Neurospora crassa OR74A: one gene and its partner. The protein of the gene in region 2 interacts with the protein of the main gene of each other region in a biochemical or structural test. Links are inferred from orthologs where the notes say so. Each region holds a gene or a part of one and is shown on either strand. Other genes may lie near its edges.

Evidence for each region. The genes of interacting proteins can lie anywhere in the genome.
Region 1: the proteins of NCU17030 (region 2) and NCU03690 form a complex in vitro, tested with the Saccharomyces cerevisiae proteins (2 studies listed by BioGRID). The link is inferred for Neurospora crassa OR74A from reciprocal best matches to the Saccharomyces cerevisiae genes HRP1 and KAP104.

The regions. Positions count from the first base shown.
Region 1 is NC_026505.1:2,090,980-2,095,545, forward strand, and holds the start of NCU03690 (importin beta-2 subunit), read right to left. Parts: upstream 3,090-4,566; 5' UTR 2,518-3,089; coding exon 2,416-2,517; intron 2,326-2,415; coding exon 1-2,325. Other genes in the region: NCU03691 (hypothetical protein), read right to left, coding at 4,520-4,566. UniProt on the Saccharomyces cerevisiae protein: Functions in nuclear protein import as nuclear transport receptor. Serves as receptor for arginine/glycine-rich nuclear localization signals (rg-NLS) and PY-NLS in cargo substrates. Its predominant cargo substrate seems to be mRNA-binding proteins.
Region 2 is NC_026505.1:5,320,888-5,325,340, reverse strand, and holds the start of NCU17030 (heterogeneous nuclear ribonucleoprotein HRP1), read left to right. Parts: upstream 1-1,314; 5' UTR 1,315-1,929; coding exon 1,930-1,973; intron 1,974-2,039; coding exon 2,040-2,492; intron 2,493-3,965; coding exon 3,966-4,006; intron 4,007-4,124; coding exon 4,125-4,288; intron 4,289-4,355; coding exon 4,356-4,453. Other genes in the region: NCU04241 (TBC1 domain family member 22A), read right to left, coding at 1-72, 155-280, 348-357, 447-465, 531-575. UniProt on the Saccharomyces cerevisiae protein: RNA-binding protein, which is involved in the polyadenylation-dependent pre-mRNA 3'-end formation and cooperates with the cleavage factor CFIA complex and the cleavage and polyadenylation factor (CPF) complex.

The sequences.
Region 1 (4,566 bases), about 3.2 Mb from region 2:
GGAGAGGATGTCAACACATCGTTGAATGAGCTGGGGCACGAATGGCGCCATGCCTGCCTTGTACTGAAGAGCAATCTCGCCGACACTCCAGCAGGCGTTGTTGACTACGCTGAAGCTGTTGTCGACCTCCTCGTCCAGAATAGTGTCCATGTCCAAGCGCTTGATAACGACCGGCATGATGTTGGGCAGGAATGGCTTGAGTTGTTCAAAGACGTACTTGGCACAATCGCCGAGAAGAGCGTATGCCGATTGCTGAACGGCATCGGATTGATCCCCCATGCACAGAGCCATCAGCTCAAAAAAGGTTGGCTGGACGTTGGCAACAAGCTTGGAAGCCTTGTCGTTGTCTAGGGCCTGGATGATGGCACTGAGAAGATCGAGGCTGGTGACCAGGAAATCCTCATCAGGTTGATCAAGATCGGTGTTGGTCTTGGCCTTCATGGCCTGCTCCAGGTTTTGATGAATAATTCGAATACACCTGCCGAAAATAGGCTCGGCGTAAGGGGTGAAGGCATCGCCAAGGGCCATAGCGACGTAGGAAAGGCACTCGAGCAAGGGAAAAAGCTCCCGGGACTCATCACCCACCTTCTGCCACCTATCCAGTAGGACTGGCATCAACTGGTTACTAAGCTCAGGCCTAGCCAGGACGGGGCCGATGTGCTCAGCCAGCGTCTGAACGCAGTCGTAGAGAACCCACATATTCTTATCCTTGTACTTGCCGAAGCACCGGATGTATTGCTGGATGATGGGTCCGCAGTAAGGCTCGAGCGCCTTGCCTGCCTTCTCTTCTAGGTTTGCCATGGCAGAGGCACCAGCCTCCTGAACGTTCTTGTTCTTGTCAAGCATCTTCTTGAGAATTCCGTCCATCATAGGCAGGAAGTATCTCTCCTTTTCTGCCTGATCCACAAGGCTAACCGCCCACGCAGAGTATCGACCAAGGGTCCAGCAGGTAATCTGGCGAACCACCGGCTCCTCGTCGTCGAGGAGACTAACAAGATAGGGCACCAATTCTGGAAGGTGGGGAACGACCACGTCCATGCAGCCCTCAGCAACAGCACCAAGGGCGAGAACAGCCGCTTCTCTGTAAGACCAATCCGCGTGCTTGAGGTTGCTCTGCAAATATGGTAGAATAGAAGTGAAGACTGGTCCGCCAAAGTCGCGAGCAAATACATCAAGTGCCGCCGCTGAGCACTTGCGGAGAGTCCACTTCTCATCGGGATTCTCATCTCCCTCGGACTCGCTGTCGTCAATTTCGCCATCTTCCAAATCATCGTCGTCTTCCTCCATGCTTGCAACCTTCTCGAACGCGTTTCCATTCTTCGCCATATCAGCCGCAGTGTTTCCGTTAGCAGCACGGGTCAGCTTCTTCTTGGCGAACTGTGGCTTGATATCCTCCTCCCGGTCTTCTTCATCCTCATCGTCCGAAGCACCTCCAAGTATAGCAATATCCTCGGGACTGTAGACCATGCACTCCAAAAGTACGGGGATGATGTCTGTGATGTACGGTTCCAGGGCCCGCCACAGGTTATCGTGCTCTCCAACAGTCAGCCAGAACTCGGCAGCCTCAGTGGCAAGATCCTCGTCGTCACCCTTTTGTTGAGCGATGATGTACTTGGCCAGGCCTTCGATATGGGGCAGAAGCTTGTCCGGACGGGTTTCCACCAGGTTCACAAAAGCACGGCAGACCTGTTTTCGGACATCGATTGAGGGATCTTCAGCCAGAGCAAAGAGGTGCTGTAGAAGGTCATCTATCGAGTTCAGCATGGCCTGCGACTTCCTAGGGGTGAACACATTGATGGCTGTGAGAGCATGGGCGCGAACTTTGGGAATTGCGCTCCTGGTTGCCTGAATAAGCTTTGGAAGGAGAAAGTTGATAGGTCTTTGGCCGTTGTGTTCCCTTTCTAGCATCTTCGCATTGTCTTCGCAGATCTTTGCCATGGCAGCCATAGCTCCCTCCTGCGCCTCGGGCGTTACCTGACCAGACTCATTGGTCAACATCTTGAGCAACTCGGGCAGAAACTCGGGCCAGCCGTAGATTCCTCCCTTGTTAATCAGCTCAGTCGCAAGAGTGCCTGCATGACTGCGGATCTGTGAGTTCTTGTCCTGGAGCCCCAAGGGGACAGCCAACTTGACAAGAGCCAAGCTCTGTTCTGGAATCTTGTTATAGTTGTTCTTGATGTTGTTCTTCAGCATCAGAGCGGCGGCACAGCGCACAACATGCCAGTCTGCAGCAGTCGCTGGAAACTCCTGGGGTGGTTCCGAGCTCGAGAAAATCAGGGCCAAGTAGTTGTTGATATCGGGCGAAGCTTTCGCTTGGTTAAGCATCTGGTTTATAAAGACAAGTCAGAATCTCTGTCTTGTGGCAATGCTCCATCAGACTGGGTAACTAGATGGTGCCGAGGGGCATTAACTCACGATTTCAGCCTGCTTCTGGGCGGCCTTGTTGAAGGCGCTCAGGGAATCCTTCAGACATTGTGCCAAAGTCTTCAGGTTCTCTCCACTCGGTTGCCAAGCCATGGTGATAATTGGGATTGAAGTGACACAGGCGCGTAACGTCGGCGATGTGTCGTGTGGTGGCGGCGGCGGCGGCGGCGGTTGGTGGGTTCTCGGACTTTGATATCTCGTAGCTGACGAGAACCAGAACGATGGTGTCGGGCCGATACCGGTGAACTGCTGAAGAGTCGAACGCAGAATTGGGAGGCCCAAAGAAAAAAAGAAAAAAAAATGGCCGACTCGAATGAACTCTCTGACAGTGCAAGTTCAGTTGTGAGAGAGGCGCCGGGTCACCACAGCGCGGCCTTCAAGGCGGAGGTACTCTTTAGGGTTCGTTTAGTTGAAGCTGGTCGTGGGTAGTCGCATCTGGCAGGCCGACGGGTAGCAAGAGCTGCAGACAAGAACCGGCAGTTTGTCCTCGGGAAGGAGGCAGGGTGTTGTTTCGTTGATGAAAGAGATCGATACCCAGAAGCAATTGCCAGTGGTTACCGGTAGGTCGACATCGATGGTGGTCGTGGGTGGGCGGCGGGCAAGGCTCGAGCAGGGCAATGTTTAATGTGGGGTGCAAAGTGGGCCTTGGCTGGCCTCTATTTTTTGCTGTGCCGTCAAGTGCAAGTGGTCGAGGGGAAGGGAACGGAAACTTGTTGAAGACAAGTGGAGGTGCCGCCCCTGCCCTGCACACCTGCACTGGCACTTGTGCGATGCCAAGCCTGCTCGCCTACCTAGGAGATGCGGGCCTGTCAAGAAATGTGGCAGGTGTGGTCAGTGGTCTTCAGGTGCTAGCTCTGCGTGGGCGGTTGTAGCTTCGTTCTGTCCAAGAGCGGGGCCGGGGCAACCTCCCATGGACGCTTGATGAGGTCGTCGTCTCTCTCTCCCGCTCTGTACCTCTCATGTATGGCGGCCACCCGCCCGCTTGATGGTTGCACAAAACCCCTTCTGATAATGCTAAGCTTCCTGCTACCTACGTATGCACGTACGCGCCTTGAAGTGGATGGCACCGTTACAGCAGCAACTCATTAATGCCCGAAGGAAATCGAACAGCAAATGGCACCGGGGTCATTCATTCAAGAGGAGTCATCGGCAGAGCTTCTGGCGTCGCAGTCAATGAGACGCCCGGCCCTTTGAACCTCGACCAAGGGCCTGGCCGAGACTTTGATACTTTTGGGTTCGTCCCATTTCCCAGCTTGTGAACCACCCTACCTATCGGGTCATATTTGGTTGAAGAAAAGCTAGGTTTTTTATGCGTTGTAAGGATGGGATGGCAGTAAGGGTAAGGTATCCTCTCTCGCATGTGGCCTCTATTTTAGTTTAAAAGCCTGCTTGGTGGGAACTGAGTTTCTAGACCGCTTTCTATGATTTGGGAATTGGATGGCGAGTTTTCCTCGTCACCTCTTTCTCTCCTTCTTGCTGTACAGACCGGATGATGTCCATCCAGCACAGGCGGGATACCAGTCGTCCTTTTCAGACCTACCAGACACATGGAACTTGGATGTCGCCAGAAGGTCCACGACAGTGTTGCTGTGTAACAGACGACTGAGATCTGCCAAACCTGCCAGGTCAGCTTTGTGAGCCGATCTATCCCGCGGCCATGTTGATGTGCCAAATATGAAACTGCAGATAACACCCTTTGCCTCATCATAACCAGGGCTTTGGGGTTCAGAACATTTCCGTCAATTCTCTGAAGGTTAATCGCCTTCGGCCATGCCCCGTCGGGATATGGTGCCAATCCATATTGCTACCAATACCCGACATGTATCAAGCAGGTAACCGAACACGAGTGACAGTTCCATGGCCTTCTTGGGTCATGGATTCGTGGGAAACGACACGCCTTTGTGGCACGTTCAAAAAAAGGTGAGTAGGTTAGGCAAGCTCAAACTAAGCGTTTGCGGAAATTCGTTGAGAAGGGAACTGCCGGAATCCCCTTGGCCAAAAGGCCGAGGTGTTTGTGTGCAACAACTTGTGCCCATCAACAGTAGCAAAAAGAAAAATTGTAGTTGGGAAGGGTTCTTTTGTCAACGTTCGAGGCTCAGGACTGGACTCCATTGGGCGTCGCGTTGGCAAACTCAAGTTTGG
Region 2 (4,453 bases):
GAAGTGGTTCGGCCGAGGGCAGAGGACGAGGGAGGAGGGGTTCGTGGTCGCGATCCGGCGTTCGACAGATTTCTAGTCCAAGAGCGCCATAGTCAGCAAAGACGCCGTCGTTTCCCAGAGAGACATCCAAACAGTAACGCCGGCACCAACGCACAATGAATCAAACTTGAGCATGTCGGCATGGGAATAGGCAGCGCCAACGACCTTGCCCGAGTCGCGAGTGGTCGTCTTCTTTAGCGGGGCATCCTTCTGGGGCGCTCTCCAAAAAGGGGAGCCAGAGCTGTCGCATTGTCCGAGTCATGTCAGTGTTTCCGTCTTTGAGTTTAGGAATAGGACTTGGGACATACTCGGACCTGTCTGAAGCCATGACGGGACATGGGATCAGCAACTGGTTATACAACAAACAACGAAAGAGGGGGGGGTTGTAGTCATCAGGCAGGACATACCAACTTGCACCATCTCCTGCTGGCGTAGCGACATCATGGCCTGTTAGCATCATTGGAGTGAGGAAATGAAGCACTAACACGTACCTGGGGAGACGCTTTCTTGCCCGAGCTCGAAGAAGAAGAAAACATTATGTGAGTGGGTAGTATACAAACAGGACTGGTGATTTCGCCTTGGTTTACCAGCGCAATGGCATCACACCATGGTCAACAATGTCGTTCGTTGAAAGGGACGGAGGGAATGTCCATGGAGCTAGACAGGCAGACAATGGAAGTGGCCGTTCCTGTTCCCTTCAATTCATTGATGGCGTGGTCGTGTTAAGCCCATCGGCTCGTTTCCTGGGTACACAGCGGTTGCCAGGCTCGGGGCCACTAACAAACACATGGCTTTTGGCAACCGGGCACGTCCAGGGCATCTTGCCCATCATTCAGGTCATCTCATCTCGGTGTCTTTGCCTTCCTGTTCCAGCAGTGATTGACTTCAGTTGGACACCGTCCGCCTGTCACAGCTCGCCAGCTGTTCGCCAGCCTCAGACGGGCAGCCGATGTCGCTCACAACTTGAACCACTACAGCGCATGGGCAGCCCACCTCAGAGGGTGTGATAAGGTGCGCTGGACTGGCACCCCCTTCCCCGCAGGTACACAGGCCTCGTTGTATAGGCTGTTTCTCACCGCCTACGCGCCTAGAGGTAATTGGCCCTTGCAGACCTACCATAGGTACCTACCTCTAGACACGCGACTGCCACCTAGGTGGGCAAGGGAAGTGCCGTAGAGGAGTCATGTAGAGGTAGTACCTAAGGTAGGTAACGTCTTTTTGTTAGTACCCGACCCCAAGTCTTGGTTGCCGGAAGCGCCCCAACTCGCGGTGCCGGTGCCTTGAATCGGGGTCCACACCCGACCGAACCTTAACACTCGGCGCCAAACTGAATGGGACTGCAGGGCAGCGGCGAGGGGACTGAGGCAGGCAGACTGATGGAGTTCCAGGTCCGGTTTCTTCACTTGAAAAGCAAACGACGTCCACTCTTCCACACTTTCCACCTTCACTTTTCTACCCAAGTCAAGTCATCCTCGACAGCAGCAATCACAACCACAACCGACGACTTCATTAGTTCACTTGTACACCCAATCCGTGCCCAAATTCGGGTCTTTTGATCTGAGGGAGGAAACTGTACAAGCACCTGACGGACTCGACTTCCACCCACCTCGGGCTCTACTTGAGCTGCTCCGAGGTCCATCCGCCGCATCTCTTCTTGCGACGAGACAACTCGACCACTACGATCCATTCGCGTCTCGCTGCTTCTCGACGACTAGACCATCTTAAGTTGTGTATTCTTTCTGACCTTGTTCGGCCTGGTCTACTTCCAGCAATCCTTCCCCGCCCTACGCCATCTCAGCGTTCCACACAAATACCAGTCTGAATCAACCTCAACTCTCATCTCTTTTCCATCTTCGATACCCGGTATTCAAACACACAACAACCGCCAAAATGGCCGAAGCAGAGAATTACGAGGATGACCTCTTCGACGACCTGTATGTTATTTTGAGTACTCGCGTAACCACCCAATCTGAACATGATCTGACACTCTTGCGAACTAGGTACAACGACGACGACGCTCCCGCTGCCTCAAAGCCAGCCGCTGCACCAGCTTCCGCCCCCACTACAGCTCAGACTTCAGCTACTGAGCAGCCTTCTCAACAACAGCAGCAACAGCAGCAACAGCAAGAGCAGCAGCAACAAGCTGCCGCCGTCCAGCAGTCGGCTGCTGACAACTACGGAGGATCCAACGACTACAGTCAGCAAGGCTACTACAATGGAGGCAACGGACAATACGGCAACGATGAGGAAGAAGACGAAGACGAAGACGATATCGACTTCAATCTCGGAAGCGGCCCGTCCACCACGGTCGCTCGCCATGAGGACGACAACAACAACCAAAACAACAACCAAAACAACAACAACAACAACAACAACAGCCAGTCTCAATCGCAATATCATGCTCCCCCACCGACCCAGGCCCAACACAAGGGCCCCAATGCCAAAGAAGATGGGTAAGTCACATCCCCTTGATGCTATTCGTGACACACGTATATGCTCGTAACATCCCCCAACCCCCGTACAACCCCTCTCTGTATCCTCGATTTCGCCCCGACGCAGCTGCAGCCCCGCCCAGGCTCTCCCACATGAAGAGATGAACACCTACTCGAGACCCGCTCAGGACGTGGCGTCCCAGAACTGCTCGGTTGGCTGGTAGGGAATGGAAGGATTGGGCGGCGCAAGGACCTGATGAGCACAGTAGAGTCTTGGTATCAGACACTCTGAGTTACTCTGGCGCGTATGGGTGAACCATACCGTATGGATGCACCAGGGGCTACAAGACTGCAAGTGATCAAAGGCAGGAAGGGATCGCTCTCCGCTATGGACGTGAACATAAAAATCGGGAGAAAAGAGGCTGGAAGCCGTGGACTTGTCCAGGGTCACGCCATGGATCAAGCTTCGACGTCAGATTGATCCCGGAGTACGCTCCTGTCTGTACTACAAGAATGGTGGATGGCCTTGCGGAGGTAATCTTAATAGGGCGTGAGGGAACCGGCTTCCTTTTGCCAGGACGGTCGATGAGCCTGCAGCCAGAGCAAGATTAGCAGCGAGAAGGGCAGCACCCAGAACAGATACAGACAGTACCTAGCTTGACGGTAGCAAAGAGCTCGAGACAGCAAAAAAATTCGAAGAAAGATTCCGGCACACCCAGAGACCACTTGGAAAGTGGAACATTGCTGCGCTGCTGCATCTTCTGTTCACTCTGGGAACTGCCGTAGCATCCCCCCACCCTGGCCCATTTCCGTCAAGTCAAGTCAGCATTCGGCACATTAGGACAGCAGTCGTCTCGTCACCCTTGAGAACATCGCGGAGGCGGCTTCCAACTTCTCATTCGCCAAATGACAACCATCATACGGTCCTCGGTCGGTGGGCTCCGCCAACCTGCGAAGCCAACGGGAGAATCACATCCATTGCCACACCCACAGTCAAAACACCAGGCCCAGTATAAACAAGATGAAGGGTAGTTCTTCGGATATTGATGGTGGAGCCCATGCTATGTCAAGGATCATGACGGTAGACGGTCCATGTGGTCGAACTAGAGGTCTGGGATAGACATTACCTGAGGCTGCTCAAGTCCTGGCGCAACGGCTGGGCAAATGGGCTTGCTTCCCCAGTTCACGCTATATGCACGCGCCTCTCCAAACAACGGCTACAAACATGCTTCCGCATCACACTGATTGGTAGCTCTTGGGTTCGCGTGTAGCCATATGCGGATTCGCTCAGGATTTGGGTGTCTAAAGGGCTAGGCGGCTGGGGCTGTTTGCTTGATCACTCGCAATGTCTTTCTCACATCCGCATTTCATCTCATCGAGCCCACACATTCTTCACTGCCCTCATGTTACGCTTACTTGTTCATGTCCAGGTATCATAGATTGCTCAAAAGATGATGTTGACTAACGTCTTGCGCGTGCGCTTGTGTCTTATAGGAAGATGTTCATTGGTGGCCTGAACTGGGAGACTACAGACCGTAAGCCTTGCCATTTTCCCTGTCCTCTCCTCATGGTAATTGTTGCCCTCAAGGGGCACCATATGTACCATATGGTATTCGTGACAGTTGTACTGATACCGGTCTTGTGACTTTTTAGAATCCCTGAGAGATTACTTCTCGCAGTTCGGCGAGGTTGTAGAATGCACCGTTATGAGAGATGGCGCCACCGGTCGCTCGCGTGGCTTCGGATTTCTTACCTTCAAGGACCCAAAAACAGTGAACATTGTTATGGTCAAGGAACACTACCTTGACGGCAAGATCGTACGTTTGCCCGCCATAGCTCGTCTAACCCGTCAAATAAGTGGCCACTAACTCATTCTCCTTATAGATCGACCCGAAGCGCGCCATTCCCCGCGATGAGCAAGAGAAGACTTCCAAGATCTTTGTTGGTGGCGTTTCTCAGGAGACCACGGACCACGAGTTCCG